Mus musculus: one gene and its partner. The protein of the gene in region 1 interacts with the protein of each later gene in a pairwise test. Links are inferred from orthologs where the notes say so. Each region holds a gene or a part of one and is shown in the gene's direction. Other genes may lie near its edges.

The links.
Region 2: the proteins of Trip6 (region 1) and Sik3 interact in binary tests that used the Homo sapiens proteins (3 or more experiments, as listed by UniProt). The two-hybrid records come from large-scale screens. The link is inferred for Mus musculus from reciprocal best matches to the Homo sapiens genes TRIP6 and SIK3.

What each region holds. Positions count from the first base shown.
Region 1 is NC_000071.6:137,311,748-137,315,489, reverse strand, and holds the start of Trip6 (thyroid receptor-interacting protein 6), read left to right. Parts: upstream 1-1,248; 5' UTR 1,249-1,421; coding exon 1,422-1,530; intron 1,531-1,781; coding exon 1,782-1,909; intron 1,910-2,013; coding exon 2,014-2,139; intron 2,140-2,400; coding exon 2,401-2,784; intron 2,785-3,256; coding exon 3,257-3,350; intron 3,351-3,446; coding exon 3,447-3,616; intron 3,617-3,742. Other genes in the region: Slc12a9 (solute carrier family 12 member 9), read left to right, coding at 1-539. UniProt on the Homo sapiens protein: Relays signals from the cell surface to the nucleus to weaken adherens junction and promote actin cytoskeleton reorganization and cell invasiveness. Involved in lysophosphatidic acid-induced cell adhesion and migration.
Region 2 is NC_000075.6:46,011,536-46,015,277, forward strand, and holds the start of Sik3 (serine/threonine-protein kinase SIK3), read left to right. Parts: upstream 1-1,284; 5' UTR 1,285-1,322; coding exon 1,323-1,595; intron 1,596-3,742. UniProt on the Homo sapiens protein: Positive regulator of mTOR signaling that functions by triggering the degradation of DEPTOR, an mTOR inhibitor. Involved in the dynamic regulation of mTOR signaling in chondrocyte differentiation during skeletogenesis.

The sequences.
Region 1 (3,742 bases):
GTGGACCTGGCTACGTGGACGTCTGTGGCCTTTTTCTGTTGCAGATGGCTACCATCTTAAGCATGGTGCCTGCCTGGCACAGTGCCCGGCTCCGGATCTTCCTGTGCTTGGGGCCCAGGGAGGCTCCTGGGGCAGCAGAGGGAAGGCTTCGGGCCCTGTTGAGTCAACTCAGGATCCGGGCAGAGGTGCAAGAGGTGGTGTGGGGTGAAGGGGCAGAGACTGGCGAGCCTGAGGAGGAGGAAGGGGACTTTGTGAATGGTGGTCGAGGAGACGAAGAGGCTGAGGCTCTAGCTTGCAGTGCCAATGCCCTGGTGCGAGCACAGCAGGGGCGAGGCACCGTAGGAGGCCCTGGGGGACCCGAAGGAAGGGATGGGGAGGAGGGACCCACCACAGCCCTTACCTTCCTGTACCTGCCTCGACCGCCTGCTGATCCTGCTCGCTACCCCAGATACCTGGCACTGCTGGAGACCCTGAGCCGTGATCTGGGTCCCACCCTTCTTATTCACGGGGTCACTCCGGTAACCTGCACTGATCTCTGATGCCTGTTCATACAGGGTTGGATAGAGCGGGCCCAGGCTCATTCTGAGCAATGGACGCCCCTCCCCCCGCCCCAAGTGGGCCCTGCCCTTTGGATGATGTGTTAAGGGGACCATGGTCTCCTTTGGGCGGGGGAACGGACATAGTACACTAATTCTAGGTGGCTGCCCCATTGTAGGGGAGGACATTGCGGCCCTGTCCCTGGTCTTCCTCCGCTTCCTTCACTGGTGCCTTGACCAGAGGGGCTGGCCTCTTCTGTGACTCTAGGCTACCTCAGTGTCCCCATCCTGGCCACAGACGCACCGCCTCCCTCTCCCCGACTTCCTTGGGTGGTGATGTTTGTGTTTTGTTTTATTTTTCTAACTACTGACCATAAATAAAAGACCGAAACACTATGGGCTGGTGGAGCACTGCTGGTGGGTAGGTGAGAGGCAGCCGGGTGGGAAGGGAGAGAACCGTGAGGGGGTGGAGACAGATGCGTTCAGAGCCTGGGCCGAGAGGCTGCCACGTGCAAGACTGGGGCAGGGATCCGAGAGAATTGCTGGGCCAGAGCCTCTCAGAGCGGCCTGCAGCCCACCCTGCAGCTTGGCTCCGGAGGAGGGCGGTCTTCTCTTAACAGGAGGGGGCCAGAGAGGGGAAGGATTGTAGAATAAGGCTTGGGGCCACGTGACCCTCCCCTGGAATGTGGTGACGTCAGGGGGCGTGGTCGTCTCCAAAATTGGGGAGGAAGGGAGGAAAAAAAGCCAGAAAAAGTTTCTTTGCGGGAGTCCCAAACGGGGCGTGGGACAGTAAGGGAGGGAAAGGGCCCAAGGCTCCGAGCTCCAGGCTCTGAGCTTGTGGGGACCCTGACCTCTGTCTGGAGTGGAGTAACCCTATTCCAGACCATGTCCGGGCCCACCTGGCTTCCCCCGAAGCAGCCAGAACCCTCCAGACTCCCTCAGGGGAGATCGCTGCCCAGAGGCGCCCTGGGCCCGCCAACGGCCCACGGAGCAAGTAAGTGTTCCTCTCTCACACACGCCGGAGTAGCAGAAGAGCCGCTGGCCACCTTCCTTCACCTTTTCTCCCTTGCCTGCCTGCTTCCTGCTGTCCCTTTCCCAAACCAGAGGCCCCAGCTCTTGTGCAACTTTCCCTGACTCTTGGTTGATTCCCAGACTCCCGGGAATGTGAAGAAGGAGAGCCACCCTTAGAAGGGCAGCTCTACCGAGGTACCCTTCTCCAGTCCCACCTCCTGTCTCTCCCTTTAGCACTCCAGCCTCACCCCAGGGTCAACTTTTGCCCCCTCCCGCCTGAACACTGTTATCAGCCTCCGGGGGTACCGGAAGATCGGGGGCCTACTTGGGTGGGATCCCATGGAACACCCCAGCGCCTGCAGGTGAGAAGTGGAGATGAGGGTAGGGTCTCTCAGGGTCAAGGTGAAAGAAGTCTAGGTCGGGGGTGTCATCAGCATTTGTTCTTCCTCCTTTCCCTCTGTCTCAGGGGCTCCCTCCAGACAGGGGGATCATCCGCCCTGGCAGTCTGGATGCTGAGATAGATTCGCTCACCAGCATGTTGGCTGATCTGGACGGGGGTCGCAGTCATGCACCTAGGCGGCCAGACAGACAGGTGACTTCCTGTGTTCTGTCTCTGCTTCCCCATCCTCAGCCAGTTCCCTGCCCTAGCTTCTCAGCCTCAGTCCACCCTCTTCACTGCCCACCTACCCTCTTTGCAACTAATAAACACCTGGTTCAAGGAATCACGCACTTCCTCCTTGGCAGGCCTAGGCCATGGGAACTTGTCAGAAGTCATTGCTACCCTGGGGTTCCCACCTGGCACGCATGGATCTTGGGTCTGGCTTTACTGTTTCTGCATTGCTTGTCTTCCCAGGCTTTTGAGGCTCCCCCACCCCATGCTTACCGCGGAGGCTCCCTGAAGCCCAGTGGAGGTGCTGTTCCAACCCCGATGCTCCCAGCATCCCACTATGGTGGACCTACCCCAGCCTCCTATGCTACCGCGAGCACGCCAGCTGGCCCTGCTTTCCCTGTACAAGTGAAGGTGGCTCAACCTGTGAGAGGCTGTGGACTGCCCAGGCGAGGGGCCTCTCAGGCCTCTGGGCCTCTTCCAGGCCCCCACTTTCCTCTGACAGGTCGTGGTGAAGTCTGGGGGGCTGGCTATAGGAGCCACCGAGAGCCAGGACCGGGGGTTCCGGAGGGACCTTCTGGAGTACATATCCCTGCAGGAGGAGGGAGAGGAGGTGGGCATGAGCCTCAGGTAAGCTGGGGCTGGGCACTGTGGTTTGTGGTCACCGGAAGTAACTGGGCATTGATTAGGTGGCGTGGAGGCCGAGGAGTACTTAAGATACTGTTTTTAGGAGATGTTGGTAGAGTGCTTGCTTAGTATGCAGGAATCCCAAGGTTCTAGACCCAGCACTGTATAAACCAAGTGCGGGGGAGGTAGAGGCAGGAGAATCAGTAAATTAAGGTCATATTTGACGCACATAATGGGTTCCAGGCCAGCCTAGGCTATATGAGACACTGTCTCAAATATAAATAAGTGCATAAGTCAATCCCAGTTTTAAGGTACTCAGAGGTCAAGGATCAAGATGTCCAAAGGGAAGGGGCTTCCTTTCCCCCTATCAGCTTCTGAGAGATGTCCTCTGAGATTTTGGGGTTCCTGACTGTATGAGTTATTTATGGTGTCTGAGACTATAGGCAGCGCCTCAAAGCCCCAATTCTCACTCTAGGGCCCCTTAGGCCAACCTCCTGAAGAGGAACTGGAGAGACTGACCAAGAAACTGGTGCATGACATGAGCCACCCTCCCAGTGGGGAGTACTTTGGTGAGCTGACTGCTGGATAGGGTGGAGACAGGGAGGAGACAGAGGATCTGCTGTTGTGGGTCTGTGGAGGCTGATCTCGTTCCTCTCTGTCCTCAGGTCGGTGTGGTGGCTGTGGCGAAGATGTGGTGGGCGATGGAGCTGGGGTTGTGGCCCTGGACCGTGTCTTCCATATTGGTTGCTTTGTGTGTTCTACCTGTCGGGCCCAGCTCCGGGGCCAGCACTTCTATGCTGTGGAGAGGCGGGCATATTGTGAGAGCTGCTATGTGGTGAGCGGCTGGGCTGTGACAGAGGGATGCTAAATGAAGCATCAAGTCAGACAGGCAGGTTCCTGTCTAAGAGAGGGCCAGATACTCAGTCGGGTGGGACTGGAAGTCGGGTGAGGTATAAGAAGG
Region 2 (3,742 bases), on another chromosome or scaffold:
AGAAAGGGTAAGCATGTATTTCCTTTCTCACATACCCAGTGACCTGGATGTCACTTTTTGATACTGCACAGAGATGTGACAATACTCCTGTGCCATGGAGGGAGATACAGGTGTGGGTAGAATAGCACTGGATACATGAGATACAATTATATAGAGGAATGCACACAGCCTTCTTCCTTCCTTTTCTAACGGACCAAAGGCTATCTCTCCTTTACAGCCCAATTTCCTATCCCCACCAGAGGCAGATAAATCAATCTACTTAATAAGGAAGGAGGAGGGGGAGAGGCTCAGTTACAGCCCAGGATGTGGAATGTCAGATAACAGGAGGGAAGAAAGAGGGATATGAGTTTTATTGCAGGGGTTATTAATTTGATCACTCTTAATGTCCTTGGAGAGTCATTAGTAGGGATGGAATTTATATTAGTTACTCGTTTTGCTTAACGGATTGCTCATCTTTAAGCATGACGTGGCCCTGAATGCAACACACTTCACCAGTACTAACCCAGCAACAGAAAACGAGTGAAGAGATTCTGACCAACTGGCTGGAGAATTGTTCCGAGTCAGGGGTGGCAGGAAGGAAAATGACGGTCCTTTTCTGGCCCTCACCCACCCAAAGACTGGAACGCATGTTTGGGATGGGTTCAACATCCTTGAATATGCAAACTCTAATTTCCGCACTCTTCTGTGTTCGATGACTTATTAGATTGATTGTACGAAGTGAGCTGGGCTTTGTAAGAGTTTTTGCTGAACAATTCCCCTGCCTTGCTACCAACTTGGTTACAGTTGCTTAAATACTGTAGCTATTCCTGCCTCTGTGGCCTCCAGGGCTAAAGTGGGACAAGGCTGGTATTTTTGGTGACGAGGAAATCCTTTTAAGGGAGGTTTGGTGATGACTGAACTGGGACACAGGTCGGAGCAGGGATCCCATCAGCGAACCAGGGGCCATCGGGAGTCTGGTTCTGGGGTCTCCCCATCTCATATCCCTACCTCGCTAGGCGCGGCGGAAGCTTAGAAGTTGCTGCTGACCCTCGACGTTTTCAATGCCTGTTCCCCAGAGGGGGGCACTAGGGAGCCGGCGCCTCAGGAACAGGGACCCACGCGGGAAGGTCGAGCTCGCCCGGTGAGGTCACGGTTGCCATGGCTTCGGGCAGTGACGCGCGTCCGCACGTGACGCGCGGTTGCCATGGCGTCGGGCGCCCGGCGGCGCGGGAGCCCCGCCTCCCGGAGTGACGTCTGTCGGCAACCCCCCTCTTTCGGCCCCCCCGCGCCCCCTCCCCCCCGGCCGGCTCCCCGCGGCCCCGGAGGTTTCACTGCACAACAAGATGGCGGCGGCGGCGGCGAGCGGAGCTGGCGGGGTTGCCGTGGCCGGAGCAGGGGGAGCCGGGCCGGCCGGCCGCCTGCTGCCTCCGCCCGCCGCGGGGCCCCCGGCAGCCCCCGCCGCAGTGCCCCCGGCCGCCGTCCCGGCGCGTCCCACAGCCCCGGCCTCCCGCGGGTCGATGGCCGCTCGCATCGGCTACTACGAGATCGACCGCACCATCGGCAAGGGCAACTTCGCTGTGGTCAAGCGGGCCACGCACCTCGTCACCAAGGCCAAGGTAGTGGCGCTGGGGACCGCGCGGCTGCGGGCTGCGCTGCCCGGGGGGCGTTGCAGCAGGGCGGTGGGGCCAGGGGAGTCCGCGATTCCCCGGGGCTCGGGTCAGGGTCAGCAGTGGGGACCGGTGCTGGCGGGAGAAGGCAGGGACCTCAGAGCGGAGGGGTTCCGGAAGGGGGGGCTCCGGGAACTTAGCAGCTGGACATCGGAGAGGTCCCCAGGGCTGTGCGCAGGGTCGGGGGGGGGGGGTGACTGGAAAGGAGGCGTTGGAACTCTCTGGGGGCCGGCGGACTGCACGCCAGGAAGACTCCGGAACCAGCAATTAGGAAACCATCAGAACGAGGGCAGGGGCATATGAAATGTGGACCACAGGATGGGGGAGACGCGCAAACTGGCTGCCTCAGGCTTCCCAGGACGGCTGGGGCATGGGGCTGAGGGTGTGCGGTGGGGTGCAAGACACCGGGAAGAGAAGGACCTGGCACCTATACCAGAGAAAGGAATCCACGTTTGATTATTTAAGACGGGGAGATGGTGTCAGTTGTAAGCCTGAGGAAGTATACTTGATTATGGGAAGAGTCAGTGAAGAAAGCAGGGAAATAAGGGGGAAAAAAATGGAATGGACCCATGACCAGATGTCCCAAGGCTCAGGGTTCCTGGTGACACTAGCTAACCAAGGGTTAAACAATTTAGGATAAGATGGTTTGCTGGTTATTTTTAGTTGTCAGAGGGTCTGAAATGGTGGGCTTTTTAGAACTCGGGGTGGGCTTTTCAGTAGGGAAGGGAACCGTGGGATTGGCACGACAGAATTCCACTCATTTGGGCCCTTTGGTTCCCAAGGGATTTGAGGAGCTGTAGTAGTGAAACTGGCCAAGGTCAGTTAGGAAACCATGTATGTATACGCATGTAGTATATTTTTTAAAGGACTCAGAGGGTAGCACTTTTACCTATCTTTCTTCATTGAGAGTATCAAGGAAAATCATTCAGTTTTGATGGAAGCCACAAAACCCATTTGAATTCCCAACTCGTCTTTGCTCAATACCTCACTTAAATGGATACTTTTAACGTAGTAGTCATTCCTTATATTTAAAACAGTAGCTTGAGTTTTTCTTCCGCCTGGCTAATGAAAAACCTTTACTACCTAAGCATGCTCCTCCGGGAGACCCAGGACTCCCCTCCCCTCCTCCCCCTGGCCGCTGTTTACCTTAGCCTACCTTGTTTTGGCTTTTATAGCAGTCCCTCCCTGCCAGGACTTATCTGGGCCTCGTATCCTGCTTATTGGCAACCTGAAAGTTCCTTTCCTTGCCTCTCTCTGTCAAAGACTACAAGGGGCCCTTCTTCCGAGGGTGGCGGCGGGCAGAGTGATTGGTCAGTTTCACTTCCTCTGGTGGGACCCCTTCAAGCCTCAAGTCTTCAGAGCCCTGTGACAGACTCAAGTGCGCCCTCCTGTTGCAGTCCCTCCCTCAGGTCCGCAGCTGGAGCCGAAGCCGGCATCTCCTTACCCCCTACAGTGTGTTTACTGTTGGCCTAGTCAAACTTGTGTTTACAAACAGAATGCCTCTGTCCCTTGTTTTCTCTCCCCTGTCTGCTTCTGTGGTTATTTTGCTCTGACCTCTGGGAAATGGACTCCACAAACATAATTGGTTGTCTGGCTACGTTCTCTATGATTTAAAGAAATTTGAATTTTTATATCAAAATATTGATTAAAAAAAATCTATGACAAGCTGGTTTGAGTGTCTTATAAACATAACTGCAAACAGTTGATTCTTGGCTTTATATATAAAAGGGACATTTCTGTTTTCAGTAGTCAGCAAAGCCAGGGCCTAATTATGGTTGGTTTGGTTGCTTTCTAGTGTGTGTGTGTGTGTGTGTGTGTGTGTGTGTGTGTGTGTGTTTCAGTTTCCCCTGAGACCTTGGTATCCTTTAGGACTGCAGCCTTTACAGCACTGGCATGTTTATAGACGGGTGTCACTGTTTATGTTGGTTTTTATCTTTGATCGTTTGTGGTGTGCAGTTATGCAGTTCCTATGTATGGAAATATTCAGACTTGAATGAGGCTGAAATGGCTGGGACAATGAGTTGCATGTGTGGAGGAGACCACACCAGCGTTTGTTTGTGCTTCTGTAGCAATGTGCAGTTTCCTGGCTCCAGCTC